Linked DNA regions of Arabidopsis thaliana. The protein of the gene in region 1 interacts with the protein of each later gene in a pairwise test. Each region holds a gene or a part of one and is shown on either strand. Other genes may lie near its edges. The genes, in order: KRP6 and CYCD1;1.

Evidence for each region.
Region 2: the proteins of KRP6 (region 1) and CYCD1;1 interact in a two-hybrid assay, tested with the Arabidopsis thaliana proteins (2 studies listed by BioGRID, with this or other methods).

The regions. Positions count from the first base shown.
Region 1 is NC_003074.8:6,615,809-6,620,020, forward strand, and holds KRP6 (KIP-related protein 6), read right to left. Parts: upstream 2,144-4,212; 5' UTR 1,848-2,143; coding exon 1,554-1,847; intron 1,451-1,553; coding exon 1,395-1,450; coding exon of another isoform or gene 1,303-1,394; coding exon 1,126-1,302; coding exon of another isoform or gene 1,122-1,125; exon of another isoform or gene 884-1,121; coding exon 820-883; 3' UTR 522-819; downstream 1-521. UniProt on the Arabidopsis thaliana protein: Binds and inhibits CYCD2-1/CDKA-1 complex kinase activity. Regulates cell division which is crucial for plant growth, development and morphogenesis. May inhibit CDK kinases specifically involved in the G1/S phase transition.
Region 2 is NC_003070.9:26,437,652-26,443,513, reverse strand, and holds CYCD1;1 (CYCLIN D1;1), read right to left. Parts: upstream 3,959-5,862; 5' UTR 3,862-3,958; coding exon of another isoform or gene 3,718-3,861; 5' UTR 3,500-3,717; coding exon 3,227-3,499; intron 3,075-3,226; coding exon 2,988-3,074; intron 2,462-2,987; coding exon 2,363-2,461; intron 2,268-2,362; coding exon 2,066-2,267; intron 1,977-2,065; coding exon 1,840-1,976; intron 1,756-1,839; coding exon 1,534-1,755; 3' UTR 507-1,533; downstream 1-506. Other genes in the region: AT1G70209 (uncharacterized protein), read left to right, coding at 3,718-3,861. UniProt on the Arabidopsis thaliana protein: May activate cell cycle in the root apical meristem (RAM) and promote embryonic root (radicle) protrusion.

The DNA.
Region 1 (4,212 bases):
TACCAAAAAGCTAATCCACGTAAATATATCCTATGTAATCGTTTTTATATAGTATCACTCATTGATGATATTTTGTTACAGTAACACACTTCATTAGGATAAATTACTACTCCGCATAGGCCGCTTTTTGGTTTTATCTAATGAAGGCCAAAATGGTTTTAACTAAGTGGACCCTGTGTTTAGTGCCAAAATAGAGGAATATTCCAAAATAAAATAAAAGAATATTAGTGAAAAAAATAGAAAAAATATAATATTTGTATTTTGTATGATCGCAGTTTTTAGAGAAGTACAAACCAACTGTATTACTGTGCCGTCATGTCATGTACCTTTCCTCTTTTCTCCAATTTTTTTTTTAAAACATCAATTTTTGGTTTCAGATATTTTTGTAAATTGGGTACTATATGACATGAAACATTTAAATATAACATAAACTGCAAGTGTAAGAATAAGAATGACATGAGACAAACAAAAAATAATAGTTTTGAGTAAGATAAAATAATTGTAATAATTAAGCATCCAATGTTTTAAAAGAATCCAAACAAGAAGCACCTTTCTATATTCATGCACTTAAAACTCTGCCAAAACCATTTTTGATTTTAAAACAGAAACATAACAAACCAACGAAATCACCGTAATTAGTAGCCAAGATCCGAAATTTCATTATAAAGGTCGTGTTTTTTGTTTTGTTTTGTACGAACTAGTAACATAGGTTTTTAAAGAGAAATAGACTAGAGCTGTACAAGTGGAAATGTTAACCACGAAAAACAAAACCTATTTTTCTTTTGTCTTCTTCATGGATGGTATTTGCTTTTTGATGGCTTAAAGTCGATCCCACTTGTAGCGACCTTCAAGCGGTTCGTCATTGACAATATCGAAGTTGTACCTGTGCCAAAGTGTGTGTGTTCGTTAGGATTCTGATTCTCTCTCTTTTTAGGATATTTGCTAAACTACGCGTCGGTTAATCTTTTTATCATGCGCACGCAGACATTTTTACTCACATTCCTCTCTCTCTCTCTCTAGGTACGGACTCACTCCAATTTTTCCCAAACCCCAAAAAGCAAAGCGCACACAACAACAACAAGAACACACGTGAGAGAGATGATGAAATTGTAAAAATGGACTCACTTTTCTATGAATTGCTTCTTCTTATCGTCTTGACTCTCTAGCTCCGAGAACAAATCCTCAATCTCCGCCGCCGTTGGAGTCTTCCTCACCCCCGGTTGTTTTCTCTTCGTTGCCGATGATGATTCCATTTCTGTTGTCGTTTCTCCCAAACCCTCACTCACTGGACTCGTCTCTTTTCTGCCATAAAAAACAGAGAAAAAATCGCCAAGGAGAATAAAATCGATTGAACGTCTAATTTGGGGGGGGGGGGAAACAAAAAGATTATGAACCTGAAATTGCTGGTGATGAATGTTGAGGTTTCGGTTTCGGTTTCGATTTGATGATCCTGAAACACAGAAACGGAAATAAAAAATCAAAACGAAAACTGAGAAAATCGTCTGATTAAATCGATTCAAGTAGAGAGGAGTTATTTGATTTTGAAAATTCACCTCCAGATCTACACCAAACGACGAACTGTTCTTCGCGATTTCTTTCGATTCACTGGTGAAACAACCGGAGCTGATACTCGAGGACTGATCACTTTCTTCTCCACCGATGGTAACGGAACATTCATCAGACGCTAAAGCCGCCGACGAAGCAACGGAAGAAGATGAAACCGCGAAGACGATGACGTCATGAGAGTCCGGTGATGAATCAGAAGAATCATTAAGCTTCGTTTTCTTCAGTGGTGAGAAGCTTGTGCTTGAAGCTTCTTCTGCAAGCTCTCGCTTTCTCTCGCTCATTTTTTTCTCTCTTGGATTTTTGTGTGCTCTCTCTCTCTGCTTTTTTTTCTTTCTATTTCTGGTTCGCTTCTTAACAAAGCAGAGGAGATTTTGGTGGGGAAGGAGAGAGAATGAATCATGAGCCGTTGATTATTTCAACGGTTGAGATTTTATTTTCCTTGGTGAGCGGACGGAGGTTATGGTATATAACGGCGCCGTTACGGAGTTTCGCTTTTATTTTCTTACACAAACGCCGTTGAGATTCCCAAACGCGTTTTCTCTCCCTTTTTGCCGTTTTTGCCTTTTTGGCTTCCTTTCAAAGCAATTGAAAACGCAATCATTTTCGGTAGTTATGACGTAGTAGCAACGTAACAGTAGTCATTATTTTTTCTTAAAACGATTTAAAGTATGAGTAAACCACAACTCTATTTAATTCGATTTGTTTAGGAACAAGTCTTATTTGGTCAGGGTCTATGAGAACCATCGAACAAGTCTTTTCTCGTAATTGGGTTTTATATTTTATGAGAATCAATTAAAAGCTAAAACCAATGATGTGACATATATCGAGGGTATATATATGAATGGTTGAGGTGTGAATAGAGATTTGTCAAATTAGCTTGATCCCTTCCATTGTACGCGTTTTATCATGGTTTTGAGATGGATATGTTAACATCCAGAACATAGTGTTGAAATCTTTTAATGTTAAAACTATCACGTAATTAAGGTTAATCAACCTTTTTTGAAAAACAATTAGTTCATAAACTTACTTAGATGGTCAAATATCATAAGCAATTAGACAAACTATTCCTTACAATATTTCAAATGAAGATACTAGCTATAATTACACAACAGAAGATACATGGTTAACCAATTTATAAAATACTTAGAAAAGAATTGTGGTGGTCGGAACAATAAATTAGAGATACCTATAGCAGAAGATACATCGATTAACTACATTCTATAAAATCATCTGTACTATTATATATGTTTGTCGGAACATGTCTAGAAGCGCCTCGTTAATTTACGTTTAAAACAATACTATAATTTTGTTACATAGTCAATTTTGTAAGAACCTACATCTTATAAACCAATTATACAACTTTTTGGTTCGTATCATCACCAAGACCATGAAATCAATGACGAATCAAATAATGCTTGAATCTGGAAAGGGAATAACAGTTTGGGGTTTGCTTAGTAGAAACATCAATTATGTCATATAGAGACTAACTCAGCTTAAGTCTAATTAATCTCTTGTTTATGCTTAGTTGTCTTTTTGAAAGTTTCCATGCATGTGTAAGTTTCTTCCACTGATCAGATACACATCAACAACAGATTTTGTCCTCTATGTCATTTTAATGACATATGTATTATGAAATAATGTACATGTGTTAAAACCATAATATAGCACCATAGAGAATGAGCCATTAAAGCTCAACTAAACTGTCCGTACAGTTAAAACCAATTGTAAACAACTAAACTCAATTCTCGTCTTAAAGAGCCCATATATGTATATATATATACAAAATGGCCAGAACGGTTTACAAATTTAAGCATATACTATAATTAAATTTTAGTGTAACTACTTCTTTATTCTTCCAATAAATGGGACCATTTTCAATAAATTTTAGTAATAAAAGGAATCATCGAGTAATAATTAAGTGACTGATGCAACAACGAATTCGCTGACCTAGGCATTTATTTAGGAATTATTAAGACAAATCAAGAGGGAATGATATAATTCAAAATAATTTATTCAGTGACCATTGTAATCCATATGATCATATATAGTCCTGAATAGGGTCGTCCTAAACTTTTAAAAAAATTGATAGAACTTTTCAATAAAAATTTCGCCTATCATTTCAAATCTTTTCTCATTTGTATGAATATATAATAACACTATCAATCAATAATCAAATATTTTTTTGTTACATTGTTGATTAGCTAGTTAGAAAAATGTAAAGATAAGTTGATTTTGTATGTTAAGATAGTTTCTATGTCACTTCCTACTATTAATTTGTATGTTAAGATAATTTTTTACTATGTAGAAAACTCTATGTCAAGATTAAAATAATTTTGACTGCCAAGAAAATTTTGATTGCAATACTTAGATATAAAAAGAAAAAAAGTGATTATAACTAGTACTCGTAACCAAGTATGTTTTATTAAATATCGTTTCACGATCCGAATTCAAATCCGATAAAATACAGGTTATTAGAAAGAAAAAAAATGATATTCTAACGAGATAATACACTAATATTTATTTAATAGATCTTCCATGAAACAAAAGACCGGATTAAACCCTAAGAATCCCTACAATATATCTTACACATACATGACCATAACGAAATTACATGAATCTTGATTCTTGAGAATTCTGTACTGGGTC
Region 2 (5,862 bases), on another chromosome or scaffold:
TTTTGTAAAATGTTTTGTTTTGCAGTAAGTTTTTTTCTTTTTCTTTCACTTCTTATTTCCTTTTTTACTTGTAAAATCGTGTGCATACATATATAAATGGATAGTCAAAGATGGTATTTTTGTGTGGCTAATGTTTGAGGGGTTCGAGAGAGATAGAACGGTGTAGCTACGTTATGGTTTCGTGGTGAGACCACTTTCTCTGACATGGAGACAGATCAACATCACATGTATGCTACTGCTCCTATTAATTGTTCCTCTTTACTAAAATCAAGAGAGAAATTAACCACTATTTTTTACTTCTTTTGTAATTTGTTTTTTTCATAATTTGATTTTCTTTTGTATATTTACTGTTGTTAAAATAGGTATATAAAACCCTTAATCTTTTGCCCAAAAAAACAAAAACAAAGAAATGTGTTTAATTATGGCAAAAATGAGGAAGGTTATTACATTTTGAACATTAAATACTTTTTTTTTTCTTTTGGTCTTAAACAAATACAATTTTCTTTTGTCTTTTTACGTTCGTCGTTCAATAAAACATACACTCGATCCACAACACACATGTTCACATGCTTCGTGCTCCCACAGGCCACACCAAAATCAAATCTCACCACTACTCATATTATCCTCTCACGTAGCTATTAACCTTCTCCACGACCATTATTGAGTTCAATGTACTTTTTCCTTCATATAATAGAAACGTTTTATTTATAAAATTCAACCTTTCAAGAAACCAAAAAAAAATCATATATATACACATACGTGACACCTTACACGCATGCAAACGCTACTAAAACGCACCGTGACAAAACTCATTTGGAGTCCACGAATACGTAGAAATCAAAAACACAAAATTTCCCGCCAAAATAAAAGATTTGAAGAGAAAACAAACACGTGAGACACACGCCTCCGTCACGTGAAGTCACACACAAGGAATCAAAAATCTTAAAAATCCAAACAAAAAAACAAATTATATATACTTCGCAACTTGATTTTTTTTTTGTTTGATGATGAAGCTGAGGAAGGGTCCCATGAACTGCTGCGATCCATTAAGACAAAGAGCTCAGAAAAATCTCCACTCACAAATCTTTTGCAAACGCTCCCCTGTCTTATCCATCAGTACCTGTGTGATGAGGACTCTAATGCAAATACTCTTCTCTCTCTCTCTCACACACACACACTCACATGATCATATCTTTTCTCTAACACGTGTGTGTTACACTCACTTACTCATTTTGCTTTCTTGGGAATCTGCAAAGCCATTAATGATGAGCTTCGTCTCTCCCAACCAACCAACCAACCCCAAAACCCAATTTTTACCCTTTCCATAAAAGAAATTGTAACCAAAACTCTTATTCCTTCCCCTTGGTTGGAAAACTCTTAATTACTTTAACTCAGCCAATAAACACTTTTACTTTTCTTCATCACTCCCTTATTACTATGTACTTGTTAAAAAATATACTCTACTTAAACAGAAGAGGGTTTTTTTTCTTCTAGGTTTTGTTTCCTTGGTCCTCTACTTTCACTCCCCAAATTTTAATTAGAGGTAGATGTTTCATCACCTACCCATGAATAGCCACTTAATTTTCTCCTTTTACAAGGAGAAGAGGATGAGAAAGAGGATTCATCACTTGGCCTTGTTAACGTCGATGATGCCCTTACACTCACTCGAAGCTTTGCTATCACTTTTGGTGTATTTAACCGGTTATTCTCGATGGCCATCGCTTTCATCAGTCTATAGCATCTCACTATCTTCTCCTGAAAGTCAAATATAACCAAAAGACATTAATTAGCAATCTGTTACTCCCTTGTTCCATCTAAACGTGATATAACAAATCCTACTTTGCTCAATCCGTCACACCAAGTCTCAGGGCTCTCGTGGGGATTGACAACAGAGGATAGAGAAGGTAACTCGTTCGCTACACAGAGAATCGCGGCTGCAGCTATACTCGATGGCCAGTACTCAAGAAAGCTCGCTTCTGTACTAATTGGTCATGTGTTAGAACCAACCCAAAAATGTGCTACCTAAATGACATTATGGATCATATATCATACAAATATTACGTACCTTTTATGTTGGAGAGTATAATCTCTGTAGCATGGGAGATAAAGAACCCGAGAAAGGTACCCGAAGGATCGATCTTGTAAGCAAAGAAGCTAATGAAATCAAACGGTGTAACCGATCTTAGTCTCCAATCTAACACACTTAGAACAAGAAGTTCCATTCTTTTTATAGTTTTTGCTTCAAATAAATACTTCACTCCTGCAACCTACATTACATTATACAGAGATACATAAATTAAAGTTTCTTAAAAAAACAGAGTAAATTCAGAATGTTAAAGAAAGAATGATAATATATGTTTACCTGAAAATCAAAAAGAGAAGGAACGAGAATTTCCTCCATCTTTGCAGCTAAAGACAAGCATGCCACTGCTAAAAGTTGCATTGGCCAACCACTCGTTTCCTATTTTACAGAAATTAAAGCTGATTAATATAATCATTGATTACTATATACTCTATTAAGTTTAATTACAAAATTAATTTAAAATATTATATAGTAGTAGGAGCGTTTTAACACTATGATTACAAAGTTTTCAATAAAGCCGATATATGAAGTGGAAAGTTTACTGCAAAAGTATACTATTATTATGTAAACGTCAATGTAATTTTTTATCGAAAATATAAATTTCAATAAAATAATTAAAAAACGAAAAAAAGTTCCCCAGCCCGCTCCTGTTCTATCGTTTACGTACATTCCAATATAAGATTAATTTCTACTAAATTATTCTATACCGATTATAATTTTTTGCTCTAATAAATTTTTAGTCGTTTTCATTTTTTTCTGAAGAAAAGTCAATAAACAAATCGATCCATTGAAAAAAAAAAAGGGAAATAAAACTGACTTTTTGGGGTTGTTATTTGTCATATCAATATAATAAAAAAACAGAGACAATAGAATTAACTAACGTTGACGTTTTTAAAACATTTACCGGTAATCGACGAGCGTAAAGAAACCGATCCATATAGTTAACGGCGAGGTACGCCGTTAAAGGCTGAAAGTTATAATACGCTTGTACCTGTAAACCAAACAATACCACACTACTGTAAAAAAAAAGATTCTCTGCATGTAACGATTCGATCAGCGTATTTTAGCGTCTACACACTCTCCGGCGGCGTATTTTAGCATTGAAAAAAATGAGAGGTAGAGAAAAAAAGTGAATAGGCTCGCCTTGAGAATCCATGCGACGGAATCTTCTCTAGCGGAAGCATCGAGAGATCGAGTTTGAAATCTAGAGAGATAATCATGTCCAGGAACGAAGTGACGCTCGTCTTCGATAAAACAAGCGATAGAATCACCAGGCCATGAATCAACCTCGGAAGACGAGAAATCAACCGTTGACTCACCGGAAAACACACCGGAGTCTTCTCCACAAAACAAATCCATATCGTTAGAGAATGAAACAGACATGTGTAGATAATCACTAAAACGGTAACTCCTCATTCTCTCCCCATAACCGGAGATGAATCAAACCGGAGCTAGATAAACCGGTGAGATCTAGAAGAAGCGAGAAGAGAGAAGTGAAATGTGAGGTTTTTGAATTTTGTGTGGAGAGAAGAGTGAAGGTTTAACACATTCATTTGTTTGGATATATAAACAAGAAACAGAGATTTTTTGAGGTTTTAATAATTTTTTATTTAAATGTGTTTTTATTTATAAAAATGGTGTTGTTGCAAATGAAACAGAGAGACGGTTACCGTTTCCGTTATGCCCGAGAAAACGGGACTGTTGTCACTGTTCCATCAATCGAGACGGGGCTGGTCCGTTCGTTCATTGGGTTTTGTTTTGAGTTTTTTTATTTGTAGTTTATGTTTGTGTTTTTTGACTAACATGCGCTAAAGTGAAATGCGTAGGTTAGGAACAAGGAGTGGTGTAATTACGTAATACGTGGCAGGTTAAGACGTTGCATGAGTGAGTACATTACAGCTAATGTACGTTTGTTTGCATATTACTCGTGAAGAGAGAAGGCCGTACGTGTAATGTATTAATTGGTGACGTGTAATGTATTACTTGGTGATTAGCTTAATGGGCCTGGATTATGGAACATTTTCTGTGATTTGGACCATTTTGTTGGTCGCTTAGAAAGAAACATTTTTTCGTATTTAAGATTTGGACTTTATTACTATTGGTTAAAAAATAAAAGCATCGAAAAATAAATCAAAATTTTACAGAGGTTTTAAAGTCATGACGCTTAATCATACGTATATATATAAGTATTTGATTTGCTAAAATGCAATTTTTTTGGTTATTGTTTGCTTTTTATGTGATTAGATGTAAAACTCCTGAACCATTTTAGGCACATGACAAATGCTCAATAGATTTGAGGCCATTTTAGATTCAATGATGATTTTTTAATCGAATGTAATTAATTGATGTTTTGCATTATAGTGCAATTTTTTTGCTGTTTTCTTGAATTAACCGTATGATAAATCAGTTTTTTTTTTGTAATATCAAGTGAGGGAAGAAGATTCCAAATTTTAAGATTGGTTATCTAATTATCTTGAATTATAAATTAGTAGTTTAATTGAGATTGGTTAATCAGAGGAAAGCAAACAGTGGTCTGGAGCGTGTGGGAAAGAGTAGTGGAAGTCCTTTTCGTAGAACCGGAGATTTTCTTCACATTCCTTTTTGTATCAATATGTCATATTTATTTGGTCCCTTCTTGGTTTAATTATGCCATAAAAGTGTTAAATCATTGGCCCGTTTTTATTAATCACTCCCGTAGTTACTTTCTTTCACGTGTGCCTTACAAAATACTTTGCTCCTTCGATTTAGATTTTAGACTTTAATTATACCATTGGGATGATCTCGGTTTAGATTGTAGTAGATTTTTCGCTTACCTCTAATATATTTACCCCTTATTTTAGTTTTCAGGTGTATTAGAAAAAATGTTTCATATTTTTTTTTTTTTTTAACATTGTTTCATATTTGTTTTGTATGTGTTTTCTATGCAGATTTGTATAAATTTGTCAATATTTTCATATTGATAAGAATTAAAAATTATGGAAGAGCTAATATATAACTATCACTTGTATGTACTATGTAAATAGTTGACAATGCTTACGTAGATAACGAAATTAACATTGAGAAAATTACAATTCAACAACTACATTGTACCATAGAAATTAGAAACAAATGGGATACTTTTTGAAATAGAAGATAATATATTTTTGGTATCTTCGGCGGAAGAAGACCTTCTTCATTATTTATTTGTTATGGCTAGGTTGGGCTACTAATTCATTTCTCTGTTTAGGTAGACAATATTTAAAACATATGGCTTACATTCAGATTTGCATTCACATTTACAGTTAAATTAACATTTTTATCATGCAGTATATGTTTATTTATATTAACATTAATGAAGTCAAGAAACTGAAATTTGAAAGGAGGGAAAATATGCACCTCCCAACCTACAACAATTTATCAGACTGACTACATTCTCGTGGTAGGGTTCGTCATTTTTGTTAATGTCTTATTTTCTTAAAGAAAATCAAGACGATTCATGGGAGCTATTGCCTTATAGTCAATGATCGTTGTTGAATGGTTATTTCAGATCTAATTATATGGTACGTATGATATCACTAGACATGATCTTATACTATCATCGTCACATTAATTGATACTACTCGTTAAGAAATGTTTTTTTTCGTTCTCCTGTAGCATAGTCAACTCGGACCCTATTGATATACTCTTGCATATGTAATCATAATAATGCATTTTTTTTTGTTATATACAATGATGATCATGAGTCCATGTTGAGTTACTAGAAATATAATGAATAGTTAACAAGTGGGTCGAGTCATTTT